Neurospora crassa OR74A: one gene and its partner. The protein of the gene in region 1 interacts with the protein of each later gene in a biochemical or structural test. Links are inferred from orthologs where the notes say so. Each region holds a gene or a part of one and is shown in the gene's direction. Other genes may lie near its edges.

The links.
Region 2: of the proteins of stk-4 (region 1) and NCU04348, one has a biochemical effect on the other in vitro, tested with the Saccharomyces cerevisiae proteins (2 studies listed by BioGRID). The link is inferred for Neurospora crassa OR74A from reciprocal best matches to the Saccharomyces cerevisiae genes STE20 and BMS1.

Annotation. Positions count from the first base shown.
Region 1 is NC_026506.1:2,077,456-2,084,986, reverse strand, and holds the start of stk-4 (serine/threonine-protein kinase ste-20, variant 1), read left to right. Parts: upstream 1-3,376; 5' UTR 3,377-3,400; intron 3,401-3,507; exon of another isoform or gene 3,508-3,584; 5' UTR 3,585-4,167; coding exon 4,168-5,235; intron 5,236-5,295; coding exon 5,296-6,655; intron 6,656-6,800; coding exon 6,801-7,135; intron 7,136-7,263; coding exon 7,264-7,365; 3' UTR 7,366-7,531. Other genes in the region: NCU03895 (hypothetical protein), read right to left, coding at 2,132-2,403, 2,773-2,812, 3,163-3,249. UniProt on the Saccharomyces cerevisiae protein: MAP4K component of the MAPK pathway required for the mating pheromone response, haploid invasive growth and diploid pseudohyphal development. Links the pheromone response G-protein beta gamma subunits to downstream signaling components.
Region 2 is NC_026504.1:3,691,366-3,698,907, forward strand, and holds NCU04348 (ribosome biogenesis protein), read left to right. Parts: upstream 1-2,607; 5' UTR 2,608-2,707; coding exon 2,708-2,786; intron 2,787-2,844; coding exon 2,845-2,915; intron 2,916-2,981; coding exon 2,982-5,582; intron 5,583-5,639; coding exon 5,640-6,371; 3' UTR 6,372-6,560; downstream 6,561-7,542. Other genes in the region: stk-58 (mitochondrial pyruvate dehydrogenase kinase), read right to left, coding at 1-141; NCU16822 (hypothetical protein), read right to left, coding at 999-1,089, 1,151-1,260, 1,332-1,478; NCU04347 (pyruvate formate lyase activating enzyme), read left to right, coding at 6,863-7,289. UniProt on the Saccharomyces cerevisiae protein: GTPase required for synthesis of 40S ribosomal subunits and for processing the 35S pre-rRNA at sites A0, A1, and A2.

The DNA of each region.
Region 1 (7,531 bases):
AACTTAGCCAGGGATGAGGTTCTCGGGGATTATCACGCCTCCTGCAATCTTCTCGTCCGCGATCCCTTGTTCATATCGATCGAAGCAGGCTTCTGTCAGGTTTCTGGAAGACAAGCCCAGATGCATGGTGCGCGGCACGGCAAAAAGGGTGCCGGGTCTGTTTCCGCACGCAGGAGGCGAATGGTCCCGATCTTAGATGCGGCTCGTGTAGTGTAGGTATATAGAGACGAAAGGTGTCCAGTGAGCGAGGTCCAGAGTCCTCGGCAGAAGAAGGGCCATCCATGGCATCGTGGTATCCCAAGCATGGAGCTCGACATAGGTCCTACAGAAAAAGGTACCTACGTACAGTATGTAGGCATATCAACCTACCTACAAGCACCCTGCAGAAACGCCTTTTGCGTAGGTACCACACCGACAGTTGCAGCACACATGCCGTTCGGGCTCGAGGTGGTATCTGCATGACAAGCGCGATAGGTGCTAGGCTAAAGACACAGGCTCAGGTAGTTACCTACTTACTGTGAATGAAGCAGGTACATCCTCAATGACTGTCTTGAAAGATGAGTGGATCTAACAACAAGCCTTGTCGATGAGTATCTGGCTGAACGTGTGTTGCGAATGGTGACGATTCGCAAAACGAGGTATTGTATAAACTTGGCGCTCCATGGACTAGTAGGCTGTCGGGTTGTCTCTCTCTTGCTTAGCTACGGCTGCTGTAAAATATGCTCGTCTCCCTTTGCTCTTCGATAGAAGGGTGACAGAAAACGGCAAAGACTCGTATAGCGAGTTGCGCCTACGGCATTGTGCACCTCATGATGAGACCTGTCACCGCGTCCAGATTTCATCTGCCAACAAGGTTTTGGAGAAGGAGAGAAGGAGAAACCTCGTTTCACCGAGGAGACACACACAGACAAGCTTTGGATCGTGCTTATATGTTGGCTTACTTGTACGTGGAGGTTTTGTTCGTTTGTTGTGCAATCAAAGAATTCTGTATGGCTGGCTGGGTGCAGTGGTGGGTGCGTGGTCAACTTGCCCGCTAGAAAGCGTAAGACGAAGCCGATCTTGTTATGGAGGCTCTGGTGTTTTCAAAGTGCGAGGCGCTAACCATTTCTATCAAGTTCTCGTAGTATTGCCGTCCTCCGCAGCGTTCTCTCAAACAGTTTCGTCGGATACCTACCATTTAAGGCATGATTCGCCGTCAACCTTGCGGTATTCCAATCTCCTCAAGCTGAGGTGGTGTGTAGTTCAACGCATAAGCAGTAGCAGACAAGCTGTTAGCAAAGAGCGGCTTTGTGATCCAGCATGCATTGTCCAACGTCCGAGCGCAACAAGTTGACAAGAAGGCGACCACGGGGCCTCATAATGTGGTTGCCCAAACCAGAAAATCATCACCGTCTTGCTTGAGTTGCTGGCTTAACCTCTCACACGACTAGCCTGGATAGATCGCATCACGAAACCTGGCGCTATTCCCAATTACATGGAATAGGGATCTGGAGAGCGTGAGTGACTAGCCTGCCGTTCACATCTGGCGGCCAATCGGTAGCAAATGAGTGGCATTCACGACGAACTGTACGTAGCTATACGGCGAAGCAGGAGCCGGCGTTTGCTGGGCTGTCAAACCCATCCGCATACCACAGACCGTGTCCCACAATCTTGCGAAACACAAGGCTCACTGCAGAGTGCAGACACTACAGGGCCAGGCCAGGAGCGCTTGTCCAAGGACTGCTGAGTCTCGATATCGAAGGAAGTTGATCAACTCCTTAAGGACAACATTTCGCGCGCGGAAGGCCTGCTGCGGCCCCACAGGCCGGCCGGCCTTTGGTTTTCACAACGCTCATCGCTTCAAGCCGGTGCGCCCCAGTCGTCCCAGACATGACGCACTGGCCGGGCCACAGAGGCAAGAAAAACGAGTGGACGCCAAACGCCAGGGAATGGGACGCGGAAATCCAAGGACCAAGACGGGCGTTTCGACTCCGCCCGTTTGGCCATATCTACCCCACAAGCCCGGGGCATTTAATCACGGTTGCCGAGAAGCTGCCCCGTATCTGATACGTACCGAGGGGCTAAATCTTGGCTGATGAGCGTGATGGCGATGTGTCGATACGAAATGGTTTCCCGTTTTCAAAAAGTTCAATTATGCGAATACATAGCACGGTCCTATCGCGCCGAGCTTGAACACGCGAGGAGCATGAGCACCTCCCACCTCACTGTGCGCAGGAGGAGGGGTTGTCCCGGCCGTGATTGACGCGGGCAAGCAGAGATTGCGGCTGTGTTGTATGTAGATAGAGGTACTGTACTGACTGTCGAACAGAGACCACAGAACACCGCAGAGGTTGCACGCAGACTCGTTCTCCAAGATGCCAGGCCAGATCAGGATCGGAACCTGGAATGCCCTCGAGTTGACGTCTACATTGGAATCGAATCAAGCTGACGGCGTCAAGCAAGGTCCAGAGCGGGTGTTGGAAGCAACCTCGACGACATGATGCCAAAGTCAAGAGGAAACGAGGGGAAAAGGTTGAAGAGGTGGTGGCGCCCTGGTCCCTGTCAGTCTCCCGTGCAGAGTGTCCCCGCCATCGCCGTTCCGTTGCCGCCGGCGGTTGAACAAAAAAGTGGGCAGGTGAACTGATGGAACTTGAAGCCTCTCACAGGCGCCTTTTCGTGGTGTTGTAGTGGTAGCAGTGGCAGCAGTGGTCGAAAGTGGCTCTCTTCAACTGCAATGGCACTGCACCAGGCAGTCTAGGTAGTCCCACTCTCCCGTCCCCCACCCGTCCCCACCTGCCCTGTCTGGCAGAGGGGACGGGACTGAGATGTAGAACTAGAGGTAGGTAGTGTAGTGTAGTGTAGACTTCAGTTGCTTCCCAGAAGGCCGGACACACTCCCGCTGTCTGTCTAGAAGCCGAAAAGTGCATGTGCTGCCCTCTTGTTGTGCGGTGCAGTGTGCAGATGCAGCAAGCAACAGCCGCCCGACAGCAGTCACGAAGCATTCGAAGGGAATAGGTAGACCTAAGACCGACACAACCTCAATCATAGTATGCTTCCCTGAACTTTGCGTCCGGGCTTCCTTGTCTCCAATTCTCATTTGGCATCTGCAGGCCGAGTGTCCCCGCCCCGCCCGCCGTCCGACCGTCAGCAACACCGGACGACAGCCAGACAACTTCAGACGACAGCAGCAGTAGCAGCCCAGCAGTAGCAGCCCAGCAGTAGCAGGAGCAGCAGCAGCATCGCCGCGCATAGCCGACACCCGTCCGCCATCTTGGGTTCACTCATTTGAGCCCGGCCAACAATAAGTCGATAACGAGTTTGACGAGATTCGTAAAATTCGACAACCCACAAACTGTCAACGGCCACACATCGACACCGACTCGTACAAAGTTGGACCACCATTGGACACACCCTGCCCAAAGCAAGCAATCCCCCGCGCCGCCCAACCAGTCACCCACTTTATCCAAGTCATCCAATCCCTCTCCAGTCTGCGCACTTGTAGCACCAGCACCATACTGCTTGGACTATGCCCGACCTTGCCCTGCTCAATCATCAATTGGGTGCCGTCCACAAGCTAACGTCTGCTCACCACTCTCAAAAGGTAGCCGGACCCTGACCTTCTGATAAGCATACTAAAAAGCTTCGAGATCCATCAAAAATAAATCGTCATTCAAATAGTCTAGAGAAAACAAGCGGAAAAGTGAAAAGCGCCAGCCTAGTCCGAGTTCCCACACAGCAGTAACAACAGAAAGCATCACCCCTTCTTCAACGTACCCAGTCCCCGCCAAACCCAGCATCGCCGGCGGTCCGGGGTCTGTCTTTTTTTCCTACCTTGTACCTTCAACTTGTACACAATCCCACCACAAACCAAAGCGCAATTTTCGACCGGCATCAAGCTTCCAGGATCCCGTCCCCCTTCAATTGTCGACTTTTTTGCTCTTGTCCGTTCTGTGTCTGTGATTCTGGCCTGCCAACTTATCCCGCCCGCCTCAATAACTGCTGCCACCCCCCCAATTCCCGTCTCTTCTCCCAAGTCTCGCCTTCTTTTGGTTGACCCGGCCCCCAGCCAAACCGTCCGCCAGTACCGTACGTTGAACATCTTCCTTGTCTTTTCTTATTCTTAGTTACCCCATCTCGTAGCCCTCGTGCCCTTCCCTACGCTAGGGTTGGGTTTCTCTCGCAGTGACCATGGACGGCCAGCTCTCCCTCCTCTCGCCCACCTCGTCCTCCTCCACTTCGCATAGTCGCAAAAGACTCACAAAGAAGCAACGCCCGCCATCCGCAAATCACCGCACTAGCTCCTCTTTCAATGTCGAATCGCTCCGTATTGACGCCCAATCTCTAGACAGCAAACGGAGCGCCTCCAGCCTGCGCCAGGGCCCCAACTGCAACCAAAGCCCATCTCTGGCCAGGACCGTATCCGTCCCAGTCTCCGTCCCTTCAAACGCGCCCGCCCACACCAAAGCCAGCGACCTCTCTCTGCCACGCTCCCACACCACTCGCTCTCAATCCGCAAATCGCCCTTACAATCCGACGCAGACAATACCAACCAACCGCTTTATCCTCTCGCCGGCCTCATCGTCGCAACCCCAAACTCAATCGCCGCCTTATCCCAGCGCTGTTGCCAGCACCACCGTTACTAGCTCCAGGAACAAGGACACATCCAAGCAGTACGACCCACTAGACTCCTGCATTGGATCCTTCGATCAAAACAAATTATCCACGGATGAACTGATTGGCGCTCCATTCGACGGCAACGCCATTCTCAGTCGAATCGAGGCAACAAAATTATCAGCCGCGCCCGCGCCCACGTCCACGACCACGATTGCGCACTCCAACAACATTTCTCCTCGTCGTGTCGCTCCTCCTCCTCCTCCTCCCCCGCCTGCTCTATCGCGCTCAAACACGGACTCCAAGGCTGCGAGATCTTCAAAACCGTCAAAGTCGCCCAAATCCACCATATCAAACAAGACCATGGGCGCATCTTCATTCCGCCACTCGGCGAGTTTCTCGTCGGCTGAACAACTTCCGCCAAGCGAAAAGCCGTCCAAGTCAGAGAGCAGCTCTTCGAGTAACAAGAGACACTCCGGTGATGGTAAAGAGTCCAGGGTGCCCGGTATGCTAAGGAAGAAGTCGGGCTTCTCCGGCTTCATGAACAGCTTAGTTGGGTCTCCGAAAAAGCCATTGATTTCGGCGCCAGAGAACCCCGTTCACGTCACACACGTCGGATATGATAGCAATACTGGCCAGTTCACGGTATGTTGCCATGCCATGTCAACTAGTCTGAATGTTATGGATGGACTAATACGTTGATAGGGTTTGCCAAAAGAGTGGCAGCGTTTGATAAGCGAGAGTGGAATCACTGAGAAGGACAGAAGAGAACACCCACAAATACTGGTCGATGTCCTCACATTTTACAAGGAGACAACCGAGAAGCCACAGGAAGATCAACAGCTAGAGAAGTTCCACGATGCACGAGCGACAGATTTTCGCAGCCCGCCCGTGACCGGCACCGCTCCGCTCGTACTGCAAACAGGCGTTGGCTACGCTCATGGTCCCATGTCGCCAATGATTAGTCCACCCGCTAGTCCTAGGTTTCCTCAAGTTGGTCATGAGGGCAGCTTTGAGAACCCCCGTGCGCCGCCGCCGGTTCCCAAGGGCCCTGGCCCTCTTCCAGCAAAGGATATCAACTTGATCCCCAGCAGACCGGCACCGAAGCCACCAGCAATATCCACACGACCGCTGGTGCCGCCAGCCTCATTGCCAGCCAAGGATTCAGGAATTGGCATGCCACCGCCCGGTGATGAGGCTCCGATGCCGTACCTCCCTCCCAAGGATAATGTCCAGCATATGTACCAGGAGGAGCACAGGAACAGGTCCAGATCGAATTCCCGGACAAACGGCGCTGCCCCGTTCTCTCCCGTGCAGGCGTCCCCACTGCATCCGATCGCCACGGCGAACCAGACTGCGGCTTATCAGCAGCAATTGTTGCAACACCAGCAAGAACAGGCCATGGCCCAAGCCCAGGCAGCAATGAGCGGTCAACTGAGCCGAGCTGCAAGCAAGAGACAACAACCAACTCCGCCCACCTCACAACACCAACACCCCCGGCAGCCAGACATCAATGGGGCTCCTCGTATGCCACAGACTCAGGGGGCGGCTCCCCAAGCTAGCGCGAGACCCCGTCACAGACCGCGGCAAAGTAACGCGATTGATGTCGTGGCTTCCCTAAAGAGGATATGCTCCGACGGGGATCCGAGAGAGATTTATCGTGGGTTTACCAAAATTGGTCAGGGTGCCTCTGGTGGTGTGTATACTGGCCATGAAAGGGGAAGCAACAGGCTGGTGGCTATCAAGCAGATGAACCTTGAGCAACAGCCAAAGAAGGATCTCATCATCAATGAGATTTTGGTTATGAAGGAGAGCTCACACCCCAATATTGTCAACTTTATTGACAGTTACCTATGTGCTGGGGAATTGTGGGTAGTCATGGAATACATGGAGGGTGGTAGCTTGACGGATGTTGTCACGTTCAACATCATGACTGAAGGGCAGATCGCGTCAGTTTGCCGAGAAACCCTCAGAGGCCTTCAACATCTGCACTCCAAGGGCGTCATACACAGAGATATCAAGTCAGACAACATTCTCCTTAGCATGGAAGGCAATATCAAGCTCAGTAAGTTTTCCCCTTCGGGCTTTTTGGGCAGTCTCCGAAAGTTCAAACTTTTTGAGCATTTTCCTGTTCATTTTCCCACCATCTTCAACCCCCAACGCCCATCTGGTGCTGTGACCCGATTCTAACCCTTGTTCTTCCACCATAGCCGATTTTGGATTCTGTGCTACAATCAACGAAGCTCAAAGTAAGCGTACGACAATGGTCGGCACGCCTTATTGGATGGCGCCCGAGGTTGTGACACGTAAAGAGTACGGCCGCAAGGTGGATATCTGGTCATTGGGCATCATGGCCATCGAGATGATTGAAGGAGAGCCTCCCTACCTGACCGAGTCGCCTCTTCGAGCGCTTTGGCTCATTGCGACCAACGGCACGCCGCACATCAAGGATGAGCAGTCACTCTCACCAGTTTTCCGCGACTTCCTCTACTTTGCCCTCAAGGTGGACCCGGAGAAGAGGGCCAGCGCTCATGATCTACTAAGGGTAAGTCTTGGTTCGCCCCTGCATTTTGAATGGCCCTCTGTTTGCGGCTCTTCACCTGCTACGTTACGCTACCAGGCTCAAGGAGATGGTGATATTTCCGCCGGGCACCGAGCTAACTCTTGTAACAGCACGACTTCATGAACAAGTGCGTCGACCTATCAACACTGGCGCCCCTTGTCCGAGCAGCAAGGGAAGCCCGAGCCCAAGAGAAGGCCCGTAAAGGGCAGTAGTGTATGATTCTTCTAGGCGTTCTGTGCTGTACACGCACGCACGAGAGATATTCCCCTGGAGCGTTATTGTTTCACATCCCCCTTTTTGTTCTTTAATTTTTTTTTCTTTTTTTTTTTTCCCCTTCTGGGTTCTAAAGCAATTCTCTTCTGCAGCAGAGATTTGTGG
Region 2 (7,542 bases), on another chromosome or scaffold:
ATGGCGACTGCTGAGCGGGCGGTCGTAATGGGGTCTCGCGATATTCTGGTTCAGGATGGAATACAGTCTCGGGTAGTTTGAGGAGCTCAAGGCGGCCTTGAGAGGGCTGGGAAACCTCGACGGCCTCGCGATGGATTTCATGTCGGCATGTTGTGCGGTCGCGGGTTTCTGTTACGAGACTGAATTTGGGACTACAACGTACTTCCAATTTTGGTGCAACAAGTACGTAGGTAGGGTCCGGTGGAGAGTGCCGTGTTGCTTCAGTTCGTTGTCATTCGGTGGTGTGTGTGTGTGTGTGTGTGTGTGTGTGTGCGCGCGGGACGGCGATCAGCGCCGCGATGGGATGACATAGGTAGCAGTCCACGCTGAAACAGGGTTATCGTGGTCCAATCGATATGCTAGGCGATAAGGGGCTGCCCACAGGCCGCTTGGAGTAGGTTGGAGCACCTTGAGGACTGGGCTGGGCTGAGGAGGGCTTCCACTTCCACTTAGGTGCTTGTGCTTTGGCTGTGCTTCCCGTTCTGTCTCCTCGGTGCTGTCGGGTCGGTTGCTCTCTCCTCCATCCAGCATGACGCATCCCCATTGCAAGTCTGGACTTCCTGGTTGAACACATCCCTAGGCACAGTCAGTGACACGATTCAAGTCAACATGTGCAAATTGGAAATCTTTCTTTGAATTCATAACAATCATCAAATGGCCGCCTTTATCTATTCCAGTGGAGAGTGTCACTGGAACGACAGCGAAACCGGCAGGTAAGCCCCGGGCCCCCTGTCGCTGTCAACACTATGTAGCTGAGACTAGGTAACCTCCGTCTCGCTGTTACCCCGCGATTGGTGCCCCGCATGAGATCCATCACCAGATCATGCTTCTCTCTCTGAGCAGGCGACTGTAGTCTCATCCTATACCTGTCCTTCCCGGGCTAATGTCATATCATTCCCAATGTCGTTGTCCTTGACGCCTAATGCTTCAAACATGCTGTTGAAATCGGATGCGCTCTTTTACTGGGTCCTGACCTCCTGGTCGGCCTCGACGCCCTTGACGTGCTCGTGGTTCTCAAGGGTGAAAACAGCGCCCTCGGGATAGATGGCCCTGCAGTTAAAAAGAGAGGGTCAGCTCTTGTGTCTAATTCTGAAGACGGAGGCTGTCATACTGGAAGGCCTTGATGAGGGTGTACTCGTGGCCAATCTTGCCGCCCTGCGCCTTGACGTCCTCCTTGGTCTTGGCGATCTCCTCATCGGTAGCGGTGTCCTTGAGGGTAACCTGACATAGTGAACAGCTGAGGTCAATAAGAGTCTTATGGGTAGTGTGAGGCGCGAGTGCGGCATGCTTACAATGTAAGAAGGCATCTTTGCGGTGGTGGGAGGGTTGTTTGGTGAAAAAGTTGGTGTTGCTGTATGGAAATGTTGAAACAGAGTGTAGTGGTTGGTCGTGAACTTGGAAAGTCGGTACTGCGTCTCGAGGAGCGGACGAAGGAGCATCTTATACGTGATCAAGGGACATGCACAAGTGGACTCGAACTACCTACACCACAGATGCACATGTGCCAGATAAGCGGCAATCATGCTAGATTGGTCTTCCTGCCACGCCGTCAGGAGCCACAAGTGACGCGGCACCAGGGACATTAGCATTCTCTGGAGCGGATGATACGTCATATCCACTTGGACCAGACTTGCTGCGCCTACCGCAGGTCGTTTTGTGACTTGTGACACTCTTTTGGCTGCCAGGCGTGGGGATGACAGAGACAATCCTTCATCTCAGCGCCCAACAAGACAGCCTTGCACACAACCACCTAACGAGCGCTTAGGCGCGGGCTGAGACACTAGGAGTGGTGTGGGAGGATGGATCCAGTCATCTTCCGACCATCTTGCTACTCAGGATCTTGGATGTTGTTACCTATCTGTTGTAACTCTGAGCCTAGCCTATACGCCATACCCTCCTCATGTGTGTAAATCGGAAACCCTCCTTCCCGCGACAATTACGTATGTAACCCTCAAAATGGTGTGTTATGCAAGAAGGGCTGCCATGGCCCATGGCTGTTTGACTTTGCGGGCCCATTCGACGTTCCTATGTCGAGGCCGCAAGTTATCAACTATGATAGCTCTTTCATGGTCTCGACTCTTCTTCAACCGTTTGTTGGGAGGTCCCTGAACAATCCAATGCATTTACATAGCGTGGTATGTAGTCTCCACCAGTGAGGGAGGGCTTGGTACAATAGAGGTAGTTAGGTTGGTCATGCTCAAGACAGCACAAGATATCTCAACCACCCAACGGAATATCTTCGTATAAACCTTTGGAAATAGTTACTCCGAAGACACAGCTCACCCAGTAGTTGGTTGAAGATAAGAAACGGGACTATACGTTGGGTTCGTCTGTTGTTCAAGGTTCCAAGACTTGAAGGTCGGGACTGCCTGTCAGGGTCTCCAACTCCCCGCATGCTGCCACTGCTTAGTAGCGGGTGCTGCCGGGGATAGGTCCCGTCGCCTGCCGCGGAAAGAGGTCCCACTATTCAGGTATCTTATCGCTTATCGATAAACGTCTTGGCGTTCCATCAGAAAACCGACTATCCAAAAAATTTGGACAGCAGCTTTTTGGCAGCAGTTGAATTGGGAGCGAGTCCCGTCGCATTTCCACTTGCACCTGTTTTCGCGACCGCGTGTCCATCTATACTACTGAACTTGCAAAAAGTTCACGGACACCAGCCGTAATCATGGCCGACGTCCAAGCCCACAAACCCCATCGGGCTTCCAAGAAGTCCAAGGAGAAGGGGGCCTCCAAGCATACAGGTGGTATGTGTATTCAATTGTTTCTTTTATCGTTACTATCCACAGCTGACCGTCCCTGCAGAAAAGAACCCCAAGGCCTTTGCCTTCTCCAATCCTGGTAAACTCGCCAGACAAGCCGCCAGATCCCACGATGTAAGAAGACATTCCCTCGCTCCATCCTTCAATGACTTCTTATAATTAACTGGTCTTGTTCCGCAGATCAAAGAGAAGCGTCTTCATGTCCCCGCCGTCGACCGTCTCCCCGATGAACCACCCCCAAGACTCGTCGCCATCGTAGGCCCCCCTGGCGTAGGAAAGACCACCCTTCTCAAGTCTTTCATCCGACGATATGCAAAGGAAACCATCCAAGATCCGGTGGGACCTATCACGGTCGTCACCTCCAAGAAGCAGAGATTGACCTTCATCGAATGCGCCAACGAACTCGAGGCCATGGTCGATATTGCAAAGGTCGCCGACATTGTCCTTCTCATGATCGATGGAAACTTCGGCTTCGAAATGGAGACTATGGAGTTCCTTAACGTTCTTGCCGCCACGGGTATGCCCGGCAACGTCTTTGGCATCCTCACCCATCTCGACCTGTTCAGGAAGCCCCAAGCACTAAAGGAGGCAAAGAAGAGGTTAAAGCACAGACTTTGGAGCGAACTCTACCAGGGTGCCCACCTTTTCTACCTTTCCGGTGTCCTGAACGGCCGTTACCCCGATCGCGAAATCCACAACCTCTCCCGCTTCTTGTCCGTCATGAAGAACCCCCGCCCGCTCGTTTGGCGCAACTCCCACCCTTACACCATCATCGACAACTACCGCGATGTCACCCACCCCACCCAGATTGAAGAAGACGAGAAATGCGACCGAACGATTGAACTCTCCGGTTACCTCCGTGGTACAAACTTTTCCGCCGAGGGCCAAAGGGTACATATTGCTGGTTTGGGCGACTTTACAATCAAAGAGATGGAACAATTGCCGGATCCTTGCCCGACTCCCGCTATGGAACAAGCGCTGGCCAAGGCCAGTGGCAAGACTGGCAGAAGGCGACTCGACGAGAAGGACAAAAAGCTCTGGGCGCCCATGGCGGACCGCAGCGGCTTGAAAATTACTGGCGATCACATCGTTATCACTAGGGAGAACGGCTTCACATTTGACAAGGATGCTGTGGGCATTGAGCGCGGCGAAGGAGAACAGCTCATCATCGACCTGCAGAACGAGAGGCGTCTCCTTGGTCAAACGGACGAGGGTGTCAAGCTGTTCGCGAGCGGACAAAAGATCAACCAGCTCCCTGTCGAGGACGAGGATGTCGGAAACACTGGCCGCAAGAGCCGAAGAACCGCCAGACTTGCCGATGGTGAGAGTGGTGAACCGCCAGAGGACGAAGGCTTCGAAAGCGGAGAGGAAGATGAGATGGAGGATGGATCCGATGTCGAGTCCGAGTTCAACGAGATGAAGCTGGGCAAGATGTTCAGGAAACAGACCGACGACGACCAAGAAGAGGACATCGCCTTTGCCGACAGTGACTCCGACCTTGGTTCGATATCCGGCGATGAAGACCAAGGATCCGACTTTGACGATGACGAGGACGACGAGGAGGATCCTGAGCTCAAGTGGAAGGACAACATAATGGAGCGCGCAAGTCAGATACACGGAAGGAGGAAACCCTTCCGCGCTGTCGACTTGGCGAGGTACATGTACGACGAGTCGATGGCCCCCACAGAAGCCATCAAGAAATGGGCCGGTCAAGACGACGAGGAGGAGATCGAAGAGAATATCGAAGAGGACGACGAAACCTTCTTCCGGAGGACTGGCAAGGAGGACAAGGAGGACTCTTGGGAGGATCGCATGATTCCCAAGTTCGACTACGAACAACTAGAAGCCAAGTGGTCTGACAAGGACGCTGTCGAGGCTCTCCGAAACAAGTTCGCCACCGCCAACCTACTTGACGACGCTGAGGGCGAGGGCGAAGATGGTTCGGATTTCGAGGGTCTTGATGACGAGGACGACGATGATGAAGGTGACGGTGCCTTTGAGGATCTCGAGACAGGGGAGAAGCACGGCGCTGACGACGAGGATGAAGAAGAAGAAGAGGAGGAAGGAGAGGAGCAGCCAGCAGAAAGCCTTGAAGCCGAGCGTGAGAAGAACGCCCGCCGAAAGGAGGAGCTCAAGCTTCGCTTCGAAGAGGAAGATCGTGAAGGTTTCAAGAACGACAAGGCGATTGCCAGGCGAGAAGGTGGCAATGATGACGAGTTTGGAGAGGACGACTGGTATGATGCTCAAAAGGCCATGATCCAGAAGCAGCTCGACATCAACAAGGCGGAATACGAGAACCTTGATGAAAGCCAAAGGATCGCTGTCGAAGGCTACAAGGCCGGCAAGTACGCCAGGATGGTCATCGAGGGTGTCCCAGCAGAGTTCGTCAAGAACTTTAAGCCACGGATGCCGATCGTTGTCGGAGGTCTTTCGGCCACGGAGGACAGATTCGGCTTTGTGCAAGTTAGAATCAAGAAGCACCGTTGGCACAAGAAGATTCTCAAGACGGGAGATCCCCTCATCTTCTCCCTCGGCTGGCGCCGATTCCAGTCTCTTCCCATCTACTCCATCTCTGATTCTCGGACGAGAAACAGGATGCTGAAGTATACTCCGGAGCACATGCACTGCTTCGGTACCTTCTACGGCCCCCTGTGTGCCCCCAATACGGGTTTCACATGTTTCCAGTCCTTCTCTTCCGCCAACCCCGGGTTCCGTATTGCGGCTACCGGTACAGTATTGAGCGTAGACGAGTCTACCGAGATCGTCAAGAAGCTCAAGCTGGTATGTTACCCTCCGCCCTATTGTGTATGGTGTTTTTGATGCTAACAACTCGTCCAGACCGGTACACCATACAAGATCTTCAAGAACACGGCCTTCATCAAGGACATGTTCAATTCGGCGCTGGAAATCGCCAAGTTCGAGGGTGCCTCCATCAAGACCGTCTCGGGTATCCGCGGTCAGATCAAGCGCGCACTCGCCAAGCCCGACGGCCACTTCCGTGCCACCTTTGAGGACAAGATCCTGCTCAGCGACATCGTCTTCTTGCGCGCGTGGTACCCCATCAAGCCGCACCGTTTCTACAACCCGGCCACCAACTTGGTCGGCTGGCAGAGCATGCGTCTCACGGGTGAGGTCCGCCGCGACCAGAACATCGCCACGCCGCTCGACAAGAACTCGCAGTACCGCAAGATCGAGCGCGAGACCCGTCGGTTCAACCCTCTCCGTGTGCCGCGTGCCCTCGCGGCCGAGCTGCCCTTCAAGTCGCAGATCATCCAGACCAAGAAGCAGAAAAAGGAGACGTACATGCAGAAGCGTGCGGTCGTCGTCCGCGGCGAGGAGAAGAAGGCGCGCGATCTCATGCAGAAACTCACAACGATCCGCAAGGAAGTGGTGGAGAAGCGCAAGGCCAAGAAGGCGGAGCAGCACGAGAAGTACAAGAAGAGCCTGGAAGAGGCCGAGGAGCGGATCAAGAGCAAGGAGAAGAGGGAGAAGAAGGCGTATTGGGAAAGGGAGGGTAAGAAGCGTGGTCCTAGCGGCGACCAGGGTGGTGGTGGTAAGAGGAGGAGGTAAATGTTGTTGTCGTCAAGGGGAAAATAATTGCTTGTTTGTTTCAGTCATCATTGTCATCATCATCACCTGGGTTCACTTTTGGGAGTACTATTACTACTGTATATAGAGAGGCATCCACATCCATCGATTCATACCCGGGAAAGAAATTGTTTCTTTTTTGCTAGCACGAGCGAAAAGCATTGGTTGAGATATTCGCTAGTTGGTTGGTGGGTGGGTGGGTGGTCCTAGAAGTACTTGTTCGTGTGTGGGTGTGTTTTAGGGGTTGCATTGTAGCACAAATTGTTAGTGCATACTTGCCACTTGCCTCTGTTGCGGATTGCTCGATTTGGTTCCACTGTTCACGACGACAACCTCATAGTTTTTCGTTTCACGGCAGCAACACTCCCTCGCCTTTTTCCCCAATCATCTATCTGCCCTATTCGAGCGTTCACTCAATTCTCAGTCACATTCTCGGGAACACACAGCACGATTTGCCCAACAACCAACACAATATGCTCACCTTGACCACTCGTCAATCCTTACATCACCACCTCCCTTCATCACTTCCCCGAGTCCTCCTCCTACCCATCATAGCCACCAAACGTCTCCTATCCTACACAGCCAAGACATCATCTCTGTCCTTGAAAGCAACTCCCATCACCACCCGCAAACTCCTTCTTTCTCCATCCCCAAACATCAACAACCTCCAGAAAAGATCTCTCCACCTAGCACCTCCCTTCCTCCTCGACGACTACACGCCCCGCTACCTCCAATTATCTGAAGTCGACGCGGCCAAGAAACGATCGCAAGCATATGCTCACCTGGCCAAGTGCAACTTGTGTCCAAGGAAGTGTGGGGTGAATAGATTTGAGAAGACAGGGTGGTGCTTGATTGGGGAGAAGGCGAAGGTGAATGTTATTGCGCCGCATTTTGGGGAAGGTGAGTTTTTTTTTTTGTTTTATTGTTGATTGGTATTCTTCTTCTTCTTCTTCTTCTTCTGTTATCTACGTATTTTGATCTGTGTTTTCCCATTACCGTTTGTTTGGTTTTTTGGATGTTTGGCTATCAGGGTCCCGGAGGGTCTGGAGGGAGGACCTGGTGGCGGATGCGGATGCGGGAGCGGATAATGTTCAGTTCAGAAGCCAAATGTTCTGGGGTTCTTGGTCAGTCAAACAGCTCGGTCTGTTGGGAT